Linked DNA regions of Drosophila melanogaster. The protein of the gene in region 1 purifies or fractionates together with the protein of each later gene. This does not show direct contact. Each region holds a gene or a part of one and is shown in the gene's direction. Other genes may lie near its edges. The genes, in order: CG13928 and smg.

The links.
Region 2: the proteins of CG13928 (region 1) and smg purify together in Drosophila melanogaster (affinity purification with western blotting, with the first as the bait; one study listed by BioGRID). This does not show direct contact.

The regions. Positions count from the first base shown.
Region 1 is NT_037436.4:1,626,175-1,635,499, reverse strand, and holds the start of CG13928 (uncharacterized protein), read left to right. Parts: upstream 1-7,122; 5' UTR 7,123-7,550; coding exon 7,551-8,288; 3' UTR 8,289-9,325. Other genes in the region: nSyb (neuronal synaptobrevin), read left to right, coding at 41-199, 263-314, 1,995-2,251.
Region 2 is NT_037436.4:8,991,835-9,001,159, reverse strand, and holds the start of smg (smaug), read left to right. Parts: upstream 1-4,065; 5' UTR 4,066-4,306; intron 4,307-4,588; exon of another isoform or gene 4,589-4,678; intron 4,679-4,910; exon of another isoform or gene 4,911-5,098; intron 5,099-5,242; exon of another isoform or gene 5,243-5,437; intron 5,438-5,594; 5' UTR 5,595-5,692; coding exon 5,693-8,061; intron 8,062-8,118; coding exon 8,119-9,079; 3' UTR 9,080-9,116; intron 9,117-9,325. Other genes in the region: CG5087 (uncharacterized protein), read right to left, coding at 1-557, 703-821, 882-1,507, 1,564-1,944, 2,008-2,497, 2,551-2,705. UniProt on the Drosophila melanogaster protein: Translation regulator that binds to the 3'-UTR of specific mRNAs such as nanos (nos) and prevents their translation. Prevents translation of unlocalized nanos in the bulk cytoplasm via the recruitment of cup.

The DNA.
Region 1 (9,325 bases):
GCCATTCCATTAACCACTGCAACCCTGAATCCCCGACCAGGTCGTGGACATCATGCGCACGAACGTGGAGAAGGTGCTGGAGCGCGACAGCAAGCTGTCGGAGCTGGACGACCGTGCCGATGCCTTGCAGCAGGGTGCCTCGCAGTTTGAGCAGCAGGCGGGCAAGCTCAAGAGGAAATTCTGGCTTCAGAACTTAAAGGTAAGTGCGACGATGGCAGTTACCTTGTCGGACCGAACTTCAATCTTTGTTTTCTCCGCACAGATGATGATCATCATGGGCGTGATTGGCCTGGTTGTCGTGGGCATTATTGCAAGTAAGTTGACAGATCCTGGGCGAACTTGGTGCACTCATTTCTGGGACACACATACCCCAGAGAAACTGACCTTGACCCACGCCACACCACACCACACCACTCGACTCACCACGCACACACAGAACCGAAGATACTTTCAAGATCACCCAGTTACCCAGTTGTGTTTGTCTTTTGAGTTCGCCTTGATTTAGCGCTGATTTCGTTGGCCCAAATCGCTTTCGTTTATCTACACACCGAATCTAAATTGCGTTCTTAATTCCGCCACTTTTTTTCTCTAGGTAACTTTATGTAGATTGCTAACTATCTAATCCGTAAGAATTTAGTTCTTAGCCGCAATGCAATGCAAATCGAAACCAAATCAAAAGCCAATCAATCAACCCAATAAGAACCAATCGAAATCCAAATCGAAACCAAAACCGAAACCAAATTCAACTCATTCACAACTGCTATGAGTAGAGCTGCGAACTCACAGTCCAACTGACCGTTCGCTCAACCGATTCGACCTAGATGCCTTGCGAAATTCCCATAACTATAGATCGATCGATCATATCATGTCATGCGCTTCAGCCACCACTAGAACAATAACTAAATGCTAAGTGGCATACATATGCGAGTATTTGTATTGTGTACCATGTATGCCCAAGCCCAACATCATCTGGTTCCATACGAGCATACGCACAGGTTCGGTAAAGATTTCATTTGATGCCCACTGAAAGTCGTGTCCTGTGTTGTTTCGTTTCGTTACGTTGCCTAACCACCACCAGTAATCAAGTTGAGATCACGCCGAGTATCGGATCCGCCAGCTCCGTCCATGTGGGTTGCGGCTGAGGGTCTGGACGACAATGGAAGGACCCCGGCCAGAAGCCGATCTGGCGGAGATGGACCGATACTCAATGGTGCCCGTTAGCCTTATCCGTAGGACCTTAAGTTCTAGCTAGCTAGTTCTAACTCCCGTAAGCCGTAATCGTAAAGTTTGTGGTTTGTTCAGTGTTTCGTTAACCGTATCCGTATCCGTATCCGTTTTTCGTTTGTTTCGTTCTGATATTGGCAGCAGCACCCCAGCCACAGACACACGACTGTGCCATGTCCTGTGTAAAATACAAAACTTGAATCCACTTCCCCAGTAAAAGTAGTCCCTTCTCGTAACTCGTTACTCAATACTAAGCCTTCACGCAACTCGTTACTCGTTACTCGTTACTAAGCCTCCACGCAAGCGCAACGGCCTTCGGATTGGAAAAGCCAGCCTTTCTTGTGCCACTGAACCACAGCAAAAGCATAAAGTACTGCCATTCTTCTTCATTTACCTAAGTTTTTTTTTAATGTTTTCACCTTGATTTGACACACTCTCAACACCGAACCATATTTTTGAACAATTACAGAGAAAGACGAAGAATAATCACACAGAAAGCTTCAGCTTTGTACAATTTTATTAACCATAAGCAAATCAATTTACCCAATATAACACTTTGTGTGTGAGGTAAACAGCGAGAGCAATCTTTTATTTATTACTCATACGCCACATTTATTGCTAGGTGCACCAGTTGATAAATCCTTTGTTTTACATCGCTCAAAACCGTTTCTATATTTATACTTTATTGTTATCATCTTTATCTGCTCGCTTTGAAAACAAATCGATTTGAATTAAACAACAACATGAACTCACCGAAAAATTTCTCGTAGAACCGTACATGTCGGATGATAATGCTGCTCCGCAGCCTCCTGCCTTGCAGCAGCAGGTGGCTCCGGCATCGGCAACTGCACCTGATTCAGCACCACCACCACCACCACAACTACTACAACAACAAGAACAACAACTACAACCACACCACCATACACAAAATCTAAAATCTGAACCACCGACACTCGAGAAACCATTGGCCGAGAAATTGACCGACCACCCACAGAGTCCGTCGAATGAAGTGGCGACTGGACAATAGAACGCTCACGATCTCTCTTGAAAACCAACATTCAACCAACCAACCAACCAACCAACCAACCAAACTAATCAGCCATCGATTAACCACCAAGACGCATCCGTAGAACCATAGTCAAAATTAATCAAAATCGAAAAGAAAACATTTCACACTTTCTTTGTACCATTGACAAAATCGATCTAATCCGATACACTGTAAGCAAACGAAAAAACGGCAACATATCAATGCAAATAATCATACCCAGTAATTTGACACCTGCGCTTCTTCTTACTTCCGTTTCCGTTTGTGCTCCCACTTCCGTTTCCGCCGTTCCTCTGGTTTTATATTATTTCGGCTGGCTGTAAACGGTGTCTCATCGTTTACCGCCAGCCTTAGCCGCATGTATGTGAGTTAATCGATGTCTATGTGTGATTAGTGCCTTATTATTTGATTTTTACAATTCAATGTTGTATGTATTTTAAAATTGGCCTAAGTTTATTGCACCAAAAGCGAGAGGACTTCTCTTCGGGAGGCTCAAAGGAAGACAGCTTCCAGTGACTGCCTAAATGTACATAAATATATATGTATATATATATATATATATCCATACCTGTTCGATGCAGTTGTCCCTGCTGTCCGCCCCCACCCACCGTCCACATCCCATGTCCACTTGCTATATTCCGTCATGAGTGAGCTTTTAAGCCTTGAAGTGTAATATTTTTGGCGTATACTCGTGTATCGTTGTCTGAGATTGGCTAAAGAGCGCAAAGAGCCATCACATGTCGTGCCCTACTAATTCTTGCATCATTTTAAAACAGATAAACTTGGACTCATAGGCGGGGAGCAGCCGCCACAGTACCAGTATCCCCCACAGTACATGCAGCCACCGCCGCCGCCACCGCAGCAGCCAGCCGGAGGACAGTCATCGCTGGTGGATGCGGCAGGAGCAGGAGACGGAGCAGGAGCAGGAGGATCGGCAGGAGCTGGCGATCACGGCGGCGTGTAAGCAATCCCGCTGCCAGGACGAAAGTTTCTCGATTAGTGTGCTCCTTCAGCGGGCGAAAACAAAGCAGAGAAGACAAAAGAAAACCAAGAAAGGAAAACTCAGTTAAACTAGAAAATCTCGAGAATTGCAATGAAAACTCAATAATAATTTTCACTTAGACGATGTGCACGAGTTGGTGTGAGAGGTTTTAAGTAACTTACGTCATAATATTAATACTAAATCTAATGCAGACGCTCCGGACAATTTGAAGTTGTTGCTAATTTGTTTATGGTTACATTATTTCATGCATAAAACGGTATATATAATTATAAATATAAATACAAATCTAAATACAAATACAAATATATGGAACTTGAATATTACGAGTGACTCCAACCACTACCCTGTACTACCACCCTATACGGAACTAGCATCTCTACGCTGCACTGGCAACAAGGAGCGCCAGTGGAAGCAGGAGGACAGGCGGTCGCTTCCCGATGTTCGCAGCTCTTTGAACTCAGTTTCCTTAGCAAATCGACTAGACAAAACTAACAGAATCATAACTATTTCGGAACAGACGCGAAACCAAAGAAATGAAATCTAAGCTTTGTTCCTAAGTAAAGTTACGCAAATATGATATTCGAAATGTATAATCCAAAAAGATGAATTTGAATCGACGGGCCGCCAGAGAAAAGGCAGTTAAATGTTTTCAAGCAAGTTTACTTATACAAAAACAGCAAGCGTAGTCGGCTGGAAAAAAAAACAACAAACAAAAAAGAAATGAAGCCAGCAGCAAAAGCTAATAATCCCAAAGTCTAGTGAAAATATACAAGCGATTCATTTGCTGCGTTTTGTTTACGTGCGCGCTATCATTACTGTTGTGTTTGAGAATAGCTCGAAAGGTTCGATTGAAAGCGGAATCCAGACAGTTCAACGATTAAATTAAGCGCTAGACACAAAATACGTTGGTTATCCACAGGACTTAGTTAGCTCGACGAGGCATACATATATGTTTGTATATTTCAATGTTACGAGTAATAGACGAGGCGGTAATTAGAGCATATATATGTACGTGTATGTAACGATATGATATCTAGATCTCACACACTCCACCCGAACACATTGCCCCCATCACAACCGATAGCCAATCAGGATCAGAATCAGAATCTGATTCAGGATCAGATTCAGATTCAGATTCAGATTCAGAGAGCCACAGCTCTCAGCACATATTGTACCCAACTTGTTCTGAAGATACAGCATACAGTACGTTTAATGTATTAACTAATTGATTCTACAAGCGCCTGCCCAAAGTGCTTTGCCTACCAACACATTGGGGCACGAACAAAATCGAAATTAATTAGAGAAAAAACCAAAGATTAATGGCGAAAACGAAATCGAAATCCAATTCCAAATCCGAATGCAGGTATTTTTAGCAATATTCGTAGCGTGTACAATATGTCGCCCTTAAAGCTTATTAGAATCAATCTCGTTCAATGTCCATCTCAACTCACCCAGGCACTTCACATGCATATAACCATTAACAGATATAAATCAATATATGTATGTAATAACCAATGACAAATGTTTAGAAGAGTTTCGATTTTTGTTTGGATTTTAAGCAGACCCGAAAAGAAAACAATTGTATACACAGAAACAACACCCATGAAGCCCCTGAGTACGGAGAGCCCACTGGAGCTCCTGGCATCGCATTGCGATTTCCCGGAGTCCTTTTGGGCGGCGGAGTAATTCCGAAGTAATTCCCGTCTACCAAGACGGACACACAAAACAAAGAAAAACTCTATAAGAATCCCCGAAAGCAACAGACGGCTAATGAGAGTATATATATATATGAACCGTATATAAACAATAATATTACTAATTAATTTAATGATTAATTGCACCCCGAAAATACATAATTATTTAAATAAATAAATAAAAACAAAACCAACGTGTTTTCTAAAGCTGGGTAAGCATATTGATTGAAGTAGGTGGGTATTTAAATGAAAACAATAACTTCATTGTTTTAAATATTAATTATGTGGAAATTTCCCAATGCTGACATGTTCTCCAAGCTCGTGAACCAGATTAACTCCCAAATTGGGCGACAAAGGATGCGCTGCCTAAAAATAGGAGCACACAAAAAGTGTAGCATACTATCCAGCGCACTAAACTGCGCACTTGGTCTGCATACATAAATACCAATTGGGGCGCAGACAGCGTGCAAACAGGGTAATGGAAATAGAAACCCGTCTGCGGTGGGGAGCCTACGCTTATGTCAGACAAGTGGGGGAGCACCAGGCGCCTATTTACCACACACACACACACACTTGCCACACCTGATTAAAATCTATTGACAATGCAGGCGACGCGAAATTGGAGCGGCGCTAACAAGGCTCCACAAAGGAATCGATGGCCCCTGCGACGGAACAGGACCAAAGCCGCCCGGCAACCAGCACTTAATGAAACCCAATTACCGCAGGTGTCCGCCAGGCAAATCCTGGCGGCGGATGGCAAACAATAACAGCTGCTGCCGCAGCACCTGCAAATTTTATTTGCATTTTCCTGCCATTCTAACACCTCCCAACTTTTTCCCAGGGGTATATTGGTTTCTATTAGAAACTTGCTATTCAAATAGTTGGTGTTCTACAAATTTTATAGATTTAAATTGCGAGTTCCACTCGTATGTATACTTGATATGTGCTAACATATTTAAAAATCGATTTGAAAAATGCATAATTGTAAGTCCCTGCATTCCTGGTAACTCTGAGGTCTCAACTCGCAGTCAACGAAAAATCACTTGTTTATTGTTATCAACTTCGATGCCATTTCCCGGCAAGGACATGCGCAAACACCCCCACTTCCGCCCACATCACTTGGCCATCATCCCCTCTGCGACACCAAGGATTAGGGAAAGGAAAAGCAGAAGGGACACATCTCCGAGTGGAGCAGAGTGGCGTATAAATACCACGCAGCTCGTGCGCACAGCCTCAGTTGGCGGACCGTGTTGCTCGCGATTCCCTTTTCCCAGTCGCTGCGTCCGCAGGTGAGAGTTCATCCGGGAAACGGCCAACTGTTGCCAGTTGCACTCGGCGGGTGGCGCGCTGCAGGGAGCAGTATAACGGCCCCAATTACTGCCCCAACTGCAGCAAATTACGGGTGTGAATTTGATTAATTGCCTTGAAAAGCGATTGTGAGCAGAGCAGAAGTGACTGTAAGCCGGGGATTTGATATAACGACTTGTATGTAAAGTTGACCCCATTTCCGCTTTAATTGGCCATAACAACACAAAGTAAGTAGTGCTCTTCGTACGATTTGTACTATAAGTAAAGTTATTGCTACTTCCGAAAGCATGGTAGTATTTAAAGTATTATTTTGGAATTCTAGTTCCACATTCAAGGACAATCTATCATATACAATACAAATCTTTAGAATATGCGATTTATAATTATACAGCATAAAAGCGATGCCAAACTACAGTAAAAATGTTATGCTAACATATCATATCCAAGATTATATTATGTTTCATCAATCTGGCCAGTTAAATATACAAATGTATAAAATGTGAAAAAAACATATAACCTTAAAATCACTGGTGTAACGGTGTTTCAATCCTTCTACTGCACACACTGCACTTACCCCTATTTCCAACACTGTCGTGCAGAGGAGCCCCAATCGAGTGGCACTGGGGGTGAGTGCTGGCGAGAACAAAACTGGTTGCCAGTCGGGTCGGCGGCTGGTCAATCATATGGCGAGAATAGTGGTTAAAGCCACCCCTGGCGTGGCAGCTTTATCGGGGGTTGCATGTGGTGTTGGGATTGCACGGTGTGCCGAGTGTATCCGATTCCGACTTCTATTCCGAATCCGAATCGGCGGACCTGGTCTCGAATTCGGAAACGCAATCGGTGGCTCGCGCACAGTCAGTCTGCAAACTTCGGAGCGTGCGGTTGTCAAGTTTCGGTCGTCTGCGTGTTTTCTCTTTCCCGATTTCAGCACTCTTCCCGCACACACACACACAGCACTCGCCACACACACACACACACACGGACGCAGACACAGGAAGAAGAGTGAGAGAGGGTGGAGCGGAGAGGAGGCGACTTTCGCTCGAATTTCTCGCTTGTTGTTATTGCTGCTGCCTGCTGCTGTTGCCGTTGTTGCTGTGGCCGTAGTGTATATACCCACTGTGTGACTCCACAGTGTGCGTGTGTTTTTTCCTGAAAGTTCGAATTCTCTTTTTCCGCCTGCTTGAATCAGACTCGGGTTCGGATTCAGAATCGAAATCGATAGTCACCAACCAACTAACCAGCCAGCCAACTAACCAATCAACCAACCAAAGTCACCATGGCCGACAACAATAACTGCCCAAAGTGCAAAAAATCGATCGCCGCCAAGGAGGCCACGAGCATCGGGTGCAGCGGCGAGGACTGCCGGAGAAGGTACCACCGCACGTGCGTCAACATCGACGACGCGGTCTTCGAGGCGATCCAGAAGAACTCGATGATATCCTTTCACTGCGACGAGTGCAAAAACCAGTCGCCACGAGCCTTCGCGGCCAAGCTGCACACCATCGAGGAAAAGGTCAATAAGGTGTGCAACGGGGTCAACCAGATCCAGGGCCGTATGTACCAGCAGTACTTCCAGTTTGGCAACCAGCCGCTTCAGGCATTGGGCGCCTCGGCCGCCGGCGTGGGTGGCGGCGGCCTGGGTGGCGGACTGGACGGGAAGAAGCATCCGCAGCAGAACAACCTCATTGTGGTAGGAAACAATTGTAACTCCGACCGACTGCAAGTGGTCTGCGACTACGGGCGCTGGGTGCAGGTGGGCAAGTTCGCCACGAACACCAGCGAGGAGGACGTGATCGATCACCTGGCCGAGGAGCTGAAGATCAACAAGAACCTGGTCAAGTGCACCAAGCTGGTGAAGAACGATGCCAACCTGTCGCAGTTGTCGTACTGCAAGTTCAAGATCTCCATTCCGGACTACCGCTTCAACGAGCTCTTCAACGAGGCCATCTGGCCCAGCGGCGTGATGGTCAGTCCCTTCACTCCGCGCTCCCAGCTCAACCAGAATCGCCTCTAGAGGAACGGGCCCGGCAGCCGGGAGAGCGGTGACCGGGCGAGGGTGAAGCAGGAGCATAGGACAGGCTGAGCAGGATGAGGAGGATGAGCAGCTGGAGAGCAGGTAGCCAAGGGAGAGAGTGCGCCTGCGCAGGGAGCGGATGAATGATTACGAGCAGCAGCAGCAGGAGGAGGAGGAAGAGGAGGAACTGCATCGCGGCCTGGCAAACAAGGGTTGCTATACGGACTGCAGCACACCGCGGATTCCCCCGAGTGCGCCGACTTGGGCTGATTGATGGAGCAGCAGACGGAGGAGCAACTATGTGCCCCCATTGTATGCTAATTTTCGACACTCGAAAACATTGTCTAGATCTTTAAAAGCTTACAGAACCTATCTAATGGAAAACCAAGAGCATATTTATTGAATTAACTTTGAAAATGCATTTTAAAATGTTTTAGCGTTGCGTAAATAACGAAATGAAATCGATAAAGAAAACCAAAAGTATTTTAATGGCAAACTCACAAGTAAAATAGATGTGAAGCAAAAAATATTAGTCATTTATGCATTACTGTCGTACTTAAATTAAAGTAAACCGAAAACAAAACGAGAAAACTAAGGAAACCAACTAAACGTACTTAAAGAGACACTCACACACACACACACACACACACACACACCGAAAGCGGTTATTCAGGCGCGTATTTAAACCATTTACCAATCAAACATTCAACCCAGTCAATCCAGGCACCGAGGTTCTCCCTTCATCTTCATTTTCCAACTCACTTCCGGGGTGTGGGGATCCTACGGATCGACCAGACCTACGGAGATTCTACTACGACGCGTGTGCGACTACCTATCACATTAAGTACTTAACCGTAACCAATATCAAAACCTATATTCAAGCAGACGACGGCTTATATTGTATTCGTATATGTATGTAGTTTGAGGCATTTTCAAAGCTTGTTCCTGTTCCCAAAGACGTTTGGACATTTTGCGAACCACTGCACAGGACACTGGCCAGCAGCTAGACCCATTCAGATTCAGATCGAAAGTATATA
Region 2 (9,325 bases), 7.4 Mb from region 1:
GTAGGAAATGGGCGAGGGATATAATCGCTGATCCGAGGTGGTTTTAAAGAGATTCAGCGACGGGTCGAACACCTTTTTGATGGTCTCCTCAAGGAATTCCTTGAACACTCCATCCTGATCAATTCCTGCCTCGTGCAGTCCTTGTTGATTGATAAAACGCACGCGGATAACACCTTTTAGGGCTTGCGTGGGCTGGGCGGCCAGTTGCCGGTAGCCATCCTCCACAATACGATCGCGATGAATGACAATTAGTGCGGATCGAGGTGAGGCGCAGGCACTCTCCGTCAGACCCATCACCGCCTTCTCATTCTGCACGAACTTTCGGAACAACTTGACCCGATCCTCGTGCGGTATAATGTGCGGCATCTTGGCGAGCAGCAGCATCGCATTCCTCTTGGCCTTTTCCAGGTCATTGATGAACGTGGAGGGTTTCACCTCTGGTATCAGCCAGTGTTTGGGTGGCGTGAATGGGCGACGACAATCGCGGCGGTACAAGCAAAGCATCAGAGTGTGCAGCGAGAGGAAAACCGGATGCTGGACAATGTTCTTGGCACCTGCTGGAGATTGCAAAATGCATTTAACATTTTCAGTCAATTAAATATAATTATTTTCTGATTCTATTAAATATTAATTGCTTATTTATAGCCGCTGCATTTAGACTAACTAGGGAAAACTAATTAAATTAGATTAAAGCAGACTTACCCAGAAGATTATCGTTAATAAGTTTATAGAGAATATTATTAAGGAAGTAGGTCAGCAACACGTAGTCGTTGAGTTTGAAAGGATTCTGCTCCGTGTACATTTCGTGTTCATCCAGAATCCTACAGAGATGGTTTTACATGTTTTAAAACTAAGTTCAGTTTTAAAATGAATCTACATACGTTACGTAGTGCGTCATGCAGTCGCAAAAGAGCATCAGCATGGCGGTCTGTGGCTTTTGCAAGTTTGTTTCGGACTTCAGCAGCTCCAAGTACTCCTTCATGCCACAATTGGGGCCAAGGGACGTGATTAGCAACCAAATATCATATAGCACATTGTCGCTGTAGCAAATGCCAGTCAGAATGTCCAGTTTCATCTGGGAAAGCGTGTTGAGGGCGGCATAATACATGCCGCAGATTCGTGACACCTGCACCACCTCCGCACTGTCGAGCTTGCGCCACTGCTGCTTAGACTGCTTGCTGCTCGCCACTCCCATTAAGTTTACACCTCTCGTGGAGCTGCGCTCCAAGGCCCGACGCAGCAGATTCGATATAGATGGTTGTTGGGGAGATTGAAACTCGATCCGCTCGTAGTTAAGATTGATTTGCTTCAAGAGATCTCCGAGCAACAGTTTTATGCAGCGATGATCCCACAACATGTGGAACTGCTTCTTAATCAGCGCCACATTCTGATTTTGAGCAGGCTCCGGACCCGGAGTATGCCATCCTAAAAGCTCGTGCCACTGAGTAAATACTCCCTTAGTGGTCACCGTGTTGGGTATTAGTTCCAACAGCGATGTGGTGGTTTCCTATAAGGATTACAAGTATAAGTTTTTCAATCAAGAAGCGTTTATGTAAAACTCACAGTCAGTAGTGGATAGGCCAACTCCTTGGACTCCCCTTGGCCATCGATATTGAACAAATTCACTATGTTTCCCAGAAAAGCCAGGGACTTGGTGCCCGGCATGCTAGTGCCGAACTCCTCGAACCACTGCACGTCCCCCGAAATGCTAAGCGCCTTCTTAAGCAGTCCCATCGATGAGAACTGTTCCAGGCACTGAGGTACACTCTGTTGCAGATGGTAGATTAAAGCGGGCACAGACAGAATCTCCGACAGAAACTTTGCCAGTAGATTACGACTGAAGTTGCCATCGATCAGGGGACGAAGGCAAAGTGTAATGATGGCCACCAGGGTGACGGGCTTTACAGACAACTCCTCGCGAACAGTGCCGCGTATCAAAACGAGCTGGATGATAATATGGAGAATAACATGAATAAGCTTATTAAAAGAATAAAAGTCACAACATACCCGCATGATTTTGTAAAAATCGTGCTGCACCAGATGACCTTGAATATTACAACAGATTTTTTGCATGGCCGGCTGCAGTTTCTCAAACTGGGCATTCCTGAGTATCGCCCAGGATTTGGGCGCCGTGAAGACTACCAGTGTGTGCAGAAATAGGGCAAGGGACAAGCTGTCGGCATGGTTTTCCGGCTTCAGCTCCGGCAGCAATGTCAGGCAGTTCGTGAGCAGTATCTTGATGTGCGCGATCCAGGGCAGGCTGCGTTCCTTAAAAAGACAGAGGGCGGCATAGGATAGCTTGGTGTTCTCCGACTCCATTGCCTTGATGATGTAACGGCAGATGCGCTCCAGACGCTCCCGTGCACGCACATCGCTCTTGTCCAGCCTGATCTGGGTGAGGTAGCGACGAAGCACCGGATAGACGTTGCTTGCCACGAGTTCCAGTTCCGCATCCTTATCGTCATGATTCTCAGTGAACATGGCATCGAAATCGAGTCTGCAAAACGGGTTACTATTTAGGATGTTCCATAAAAGTAGATAGACACTTACATGATTCGTTTCTGGTACTTCCTACGCGCCGCATATCCCTTGAGCGTGGACTGCAGCAGGATGGCCGCCTGTTCGCGTCGCTTTTCCAGTGCCCGCTCCTCCCGCGCCGCCTTTGTCTGCTCCAGGAAGCTGGCCTTTTGGTTTTGGGCAAACATTTTGCTCTGCAGCAGGTTGAAAGAATTTTGTTGATGATGTATTGTTGTTGACCAGAGCGTTTGTTTTTGTCGGGATTGTGGCCGTTCCGGGATGTATTTATCGTTTCAATCACTTCCTCGAGCTGAACGCTATCCCAGAGCCTTGATTCAGAGCCTCGCTGGATATTTTCTGCATTGCATATCGAGCAAAATGCAAAAAGAAAATATCCTTATTTTGTTCCAATTGGTGGTACAGTGTCACCGTCTCCGCTTACTGTCAAATAACCACAGAAATAGGCCAAAGCGCGGAGATCATTTTTGTTGGCAATTTTCTAGCTAAAACCGTGGTTTGAGTCCGCGCTGCATGAGCACGGCATCGAACCTAGGGCAGCTTTGCTGCTCAACTGAGCGTCCATCACCAAGGGAAAGTAACCGATAACCGCTTGCAAGAAAGATCGACTGTATCGAGTACACATCGATTTTTGTTCCAGCACTAGCAACGCTGCGTTCGCGTGAATAAATAATTAATTAATTGCTGAAAAAATGGATTAGCTGGCGAAACATGCATCCGACCAAGTGCAACAGCAACCGTGCGCAGTACTCAGTAATCGGGCGTTTGTGAGCGTAAGCGCCATGAATTGTGTGTCTAAAAAAAAGTAATGGTTTAGCAAAAACAACAACGCTAAAGCCCAAAAGTGCTAATAAAAAGTACACACATACGCACTCACACAAACGCGCGCGCGAGCAAAGGTGAAAATTATAAATTAATAAATACGCGATCCGATAGCATATCAAATTAGCGAAATATGCTCGTTTCTCGTGCTGATCGAATCAAAACTGTGAATTGCAACAGAAAATAATTTCAAGGTTTGCAGCAGGCGAATAGAAGGCGAAAAGGTAATTGAAAAATAGAACGAATTTTGGCACAAGCGCACTGTAGCTATATATTTTTGTTGTCTGGCCGACCGTGGCTAGGTGGGTGGGGCGTGATTTTGGGGGCCAATCTTGTGTGTTCTGTGTACTGTGCGCTGCTGCTCTGTGTGGTGAAAACAACAAAACCCGCTTACCCCGCAGGAGCCCCACCCCTCTCCCTTAAATGTAATGCATGTAATTTACCGCAATTTTGCCCGTGCATTGCTCAGTGTGTCACTCTCACTCGCACACATACCACTGCCGACGAGCGCAGCAAGGTCTCCGTCTGTGTGTGCGTGTAAGTGAGTGCTCTCCCCATTTTCTTGACAGCAGTAGCAGCATCAGCATCAGCATCAATCCTGTCAGAAAAAAAAGGCGCGCGCTCCTTTTCGCCCGTTTCGCTCTGCCTGCCGCTGCGCTGCTTCTGCAGCTCCACCATTTTCTTTCTAAATCGCTGACGCCAGCGCCAAATCATTCGCCATCAGCCGCTCCTCCTCCGCGGTGCTCCCCACTGCAGCTTCTCGTCTTCAGCTGAGCTTCGCTGTGCTAAACCAATTCTTCTGTTCTGTGTGGTTGGATCTGCAGTTTTGCAGATATAATCAAATTTATTCGCAACGTACATATGTAAATAAAAGCGTTCGGAATATGCCAAGCGCCTGTGATCGCGACTGCTGAAAGGGCAGCCAAAATACGATAATATATAAGAGCGTGTGAGTTTGCAGTATCCTTTACGTTTGCGTGTGTGTGCGTGCTTGCAATCTTTGAACTTTGAACTTTTGTTGAACTTCGGTAATTTTTTTATTTGCAAGCCGGTTAGAAAACAACAGCAATTGCAGTGACGCATAACCTCAAAGATCGACATGCACAAGTACCGTTAGATCGAGTCGCCCCAAACGACTCTTTTGCGCTCCCAGTCTCGCAGGGAAATGTGAAATTTCATATAAAACGTTACGTTAAATAGCAAAGAAGTTAACATCGGTAAATTCCATAGCAGTGAATGTGCTTTAAATGCAGTAATTGGGGCCCGTTATGTTTTACTGCTTGCTCACACACACTAACTTAAGTTGGGGTACCAATACACAGTCAGTTACACTGTCTCTGGCTTAGATTACAGTCAACACTCGATGTCGTAAACCAGGATAAAAAAATAAAATGCAGCAATTTCTCTTAAAACTACATTTTACATTAAAAAATAGATACTTTAATTTTCAAATTTTTTGACTCCCATGCGTTGATTTGTTCAATGTTTTGTGTGCTTACTGTGAAAACACGGCAACAAAAATCGAAGAAAGTCGTCAGAGTAAAAGCAATAATAACAACAACAGCAACGGCGGCAGAAGAAACAAGATTCGAAATGGGCACAAACGAAACTAAATGAAAAGCGCGAAACTGTGCAAAAAAAATACAACCTAACCAAACTTCTCGCCCCCGCTCTACTTTCCCGCCCGGAAATCAAAATCCGAACGCCGCCAAGTCGAAATCAGCGATTTCGTATTTGAAATGTTTGTTATTTTATTGATTTATCGTCCCTCGTCATTTGCGCCATCAAAGCGAATCGAAGGTGTTATATATTTGTTGCTTGTTTATTTGCTTTCCTGATAAGCCAGCCGACCAAGCAAATGCTAATTTCCATTCGTCAATTACAGATAATTGTTGTTGCTATTGCGCTTGTAAATTTAACAAATTAGCGAAAACTGATTTGATTAAATTCGAACGTTATTTGCGGCTTAAAGTTTATTTTATTATCGCTGCACGGCACTCTAATCCCGAGTGGAGCAATGGCGACAAATCCATGGAATAAGGGAGAAGCTATTGATTGGATCACGTGGTTCGGAATTGTGGTATTTTTCTATGGAAGTGATTAGATTGGGCTAAACTAGGCTTTAAGCGAATGATACAGCTCATTGAGCATAAAAAAAATTGTATTACCACAGTCACAAAGTTTAGCTTTACATAATAGTTCAATTATTAATCCTACCCCGTTATCTTTACTTGCAGCAACGCAACCAAATAACCACAAAGAAGCCGTAACAAATACAATACCATAAACTATAGTAAGAACTATCCCCAAAAAACAAGAAGCAACTAACAACGAGATGAAGTACGCAACTGGAACTGACAACGCGATGACCTCCGGCATCAGCGGCCAAACCAATAACTCTAACAGTGCATCCAACGAGATGCAGCCAACCACATCAACGCCTACTGCAGCCCACAAGGAGGCCACATCAACGGCCACGACGACGGCGACATACGCCAATGGCAATCCCAATTCTAACGCCAATCCCAGCCAGAGCCAGCCGTCCAATGCGCTGTTTTGCGAGCAGGTGACCACAGTGACAAATCTCTTCGAGAAGTGGAACGACTGCGAGCGAACCGTCGTGATGTACGCGCTGCTCAAGCGGCTGCGCTACCCGAGCCTCAAGTTTCTACAGTATTCTATCGACAGCAACCTGACCCAGAACCTGGGCACCTCCCAGACCAATCTGAGCAGCGTGGTTATTGACATCAATGCCAACAATCCGGTGTACCTGCAGAATCTACTCAACGCCTACAAGACGTTCCAGCCATGTGACCTGCTCGACGCCATGTCCTCCTCGTCGTCCGACAAGGACTCGATGCCATGCTACGGCAGTGACTTCCAGATCACCACATCGGCGCAGTGTGACGAGCGGAAGCTGTATGCCCGCAAGGAGGACATTCTGCATGAAGTACTGAACATGCTGCCTCTGCTGAAGCCGGGCAATGAGGAGGCCAAGCTTATCTACCTGACCCTTATACCAGTTGCCGTCAAGGACACCATGCAGCAAATTGTGCCCACGGAGTTGGTGCAGCAGATCTTCTCGTACCTACTCATCCATCCAGCTATCACCAGCGAGGACAGACGTTCGCTCAACATTTGGCTGCGTCACTTGGAGGATCATATCCAAGCGGCTGCGGCGGGCCTGACAAATCGCAGTTACTTCCTGCAGCCCTCGCCGCAACTGGTCGCTGGTGGTAGCTCAACAGGCAGTGGTAGCTGTTCCTCTTCGGCGACCAGCTCTTCGACAGCATCCTGTTCGTCGGTGGCCTCATCCTCGTTGTGCCCCGCAAGCGGCAGCCGTTCCTCACGCACCAACGACTGGCAAACGATCGCCCCGCCCAGCAAGCAATTGCAAAACAAATTGGCCGGTGATTGGCGTGGCAATGGAGGCGGCAGCTCCAGCGGGTCGATCAATCCACTCTGTGATAATCTTAATGGTATTACCCTGAACGAATTAGCTTCTAGTCAGAACAGTCTCGGCCTGTCGCTGGAGGGCAGCTCTTCCCTGGTCAACGGTGTGGTCGCTGGTGCAGGCTCTATGTTGGGAATCGCTGGTGGCGACGATCATGACACGTCATTTAGCAAGAATGGCACGGAGATTCTCGATTTTGACCCGGTGACGGCGGACATGGGTGAGGCCTGTAGTCTGGCCAGCAGTAGCCTTTGTGGACGTAACGGTGGAAATCCTGTTGAGGATCGATCGCAACCTCCGCCGAATCTTCAGCAGCAATTGCTTCAGCCTCCTCCCTATGCCTCGATCCTTATGGGAAACGTGGGCGATCAGTTTGGAGAGATCAACCGGTGGAGCCTGGACAGCAAGATTGCAGCCCTGAAGACGCGGCGCTCTAACAGCCTCACCACGCAAACGATCTCTAGCTGTTCCAGCTCGTCTAACTCATCGGTGATCACGGTCAATGACAACTGCTCCAATTCAACGGAGAATCTGGCACAGTTTGCCAACAAGCCCCGTAGTTTTTCCTTATCGATTGAGCATCAGCGCGGCGCCTTGATGAACAGCGGTTCCGATACTCGTCTGGATGAATTCAAGCCCAATTATATTAAGTTCCACACGCGCAACGTGGGCATGTCGGGAATCGGACTCTGGCTAAAATCCTTGCGTCTGCACAAGTACATCGAGCTGTTCAAGAACATGACGTACGAGGAAATGCTCTTGATCACCGAGGACTTTCTGCAGAGTGTTGGCGTCACCAAGGGCGCCTCCCACAAGCTTGCCCTTTGCATTGATAAGCTGAAGGAACGGGCCAATATTCTTAACCGGGTAGAACAAGAACTGCTATCGGGTCAAATGGAGCTGAGCACGGCGGTTGAGGAGCTAACAAATATTGTGCTGACACCAATGAAGCCACTGGAGTCTCCAGGACCACCGGAGGAAAACATTGGTCTGCGTTTTCTTAAGGTCATTGACATTGTGACCAATACGTTGCAGCAGGATCCGTATGCTGTCCAAGACGACGAGACTTTGGGTGTGCTTATGTGGATTCTAGACCGCTCTATCCACAACGAGGCATTTATGAATCACGCCAGTCAACTCAAGGACCTGAAGTTTAAGTTGTCCAAAATGAAGATCTCCATGGTTCCCAAAATGCATCACGTCAAGCCAGCCGGCGTCGGGCCAAACAATGGGAACATTAACAAGCCAAGGTAAGGTTTTCAATAAGATAAAAAGTAATGCATTTTAAAAATGAGCTGTTATTTTAGATGGAATGGTAAGACTCGCAAATGCGATACTAAAAATGGCAGCAACGATAGGATTAACAACCGCAAAAACTCCAACGACATGCTAAACTTTTCGCTAAATTGCCTGCCACACCCGCTGCCCCATCATTCGCAGCAGGCTCCGCCGCCTCTGCCACAGTTTGACTACAACGGCTATGGCGGCGGTCCATCCCATCAGCCGCAGTACAAGAGCTCCTCGTACCCAAGCTTCATGGGTAATCCTCAGCAGCAGCCACCACCGCCGCCGTCTAGTAAGTCGCATCATCATCCCCAGCAGATGCAACAGATGTTGCAGCAACACAACCACTTTCCAGCGCTGCCTCAGCAGACGCCACCACAATCGCATCGCCGGTCGCTGAATAATCTTATTCTGGTGGCCGGAGGTCCGCAGCAACCGCAGCAATTGATCTTTAAGCCCGGTCAGGGAGTGCTCACCAACAACGGATCTAACGACAACCTGGTATTGGAACGCAATCAGCAGTCGCAGCAGCAGCAGCAGCAGAGAAAACTTAGCGGAGGAGTGTCCAGTGCGGAGCAACAACCAAAGAAGACCATGGCCGCTGTTGTGATGGTTAGTAATCCAAACCAGAATCAGGACCAGCACGATCAGCCCCAGATCCTGATCAACAACAATAATAACAACAGCATGCTGAACAACAATTTGATTAACCAGCAACAGTTGCAACTTTTGGCAGCAGCTGCTGCCGCCGTGGGCAGTGGCAGCTGTCTGTGCTCCAATGGTGGTGGTGGTGCCTGTGTCCACAATATCTGTCACCAAAGCAGCAAGAACAACAATCATGGCGTAGACCATTGCCTGTCCCAGTCACCGTTGGGCAGCCTGGGCATGTCGCCCCACGTCACCGAGTACAAGATGAACGACTTTAAGAGCCTAGAACAGCTGGAGACGTTGTGTCGCCAAATGACTGAACAGGCAATGAACTGAGCAAGATTCAGGGCTATCTGGGTTTTGAAATCATCATGTAATGGCGTTAGATTTGAGGCTGCCAGCTGTTTTTGTGTTCATTTAGCTTTGAGCCGTGTTTGATGTTTGATTTCATAACGAACATAAATGTTTTTATATTTAGATATTTAAGATTCGTGTCTATTTTTGTGTCGCGTCAAGTTGTCCACCCTGCGTCTCCTTTCACATCCCGTTCTGTAATCGTTTTTAGTTAGTAAGACGATAGTT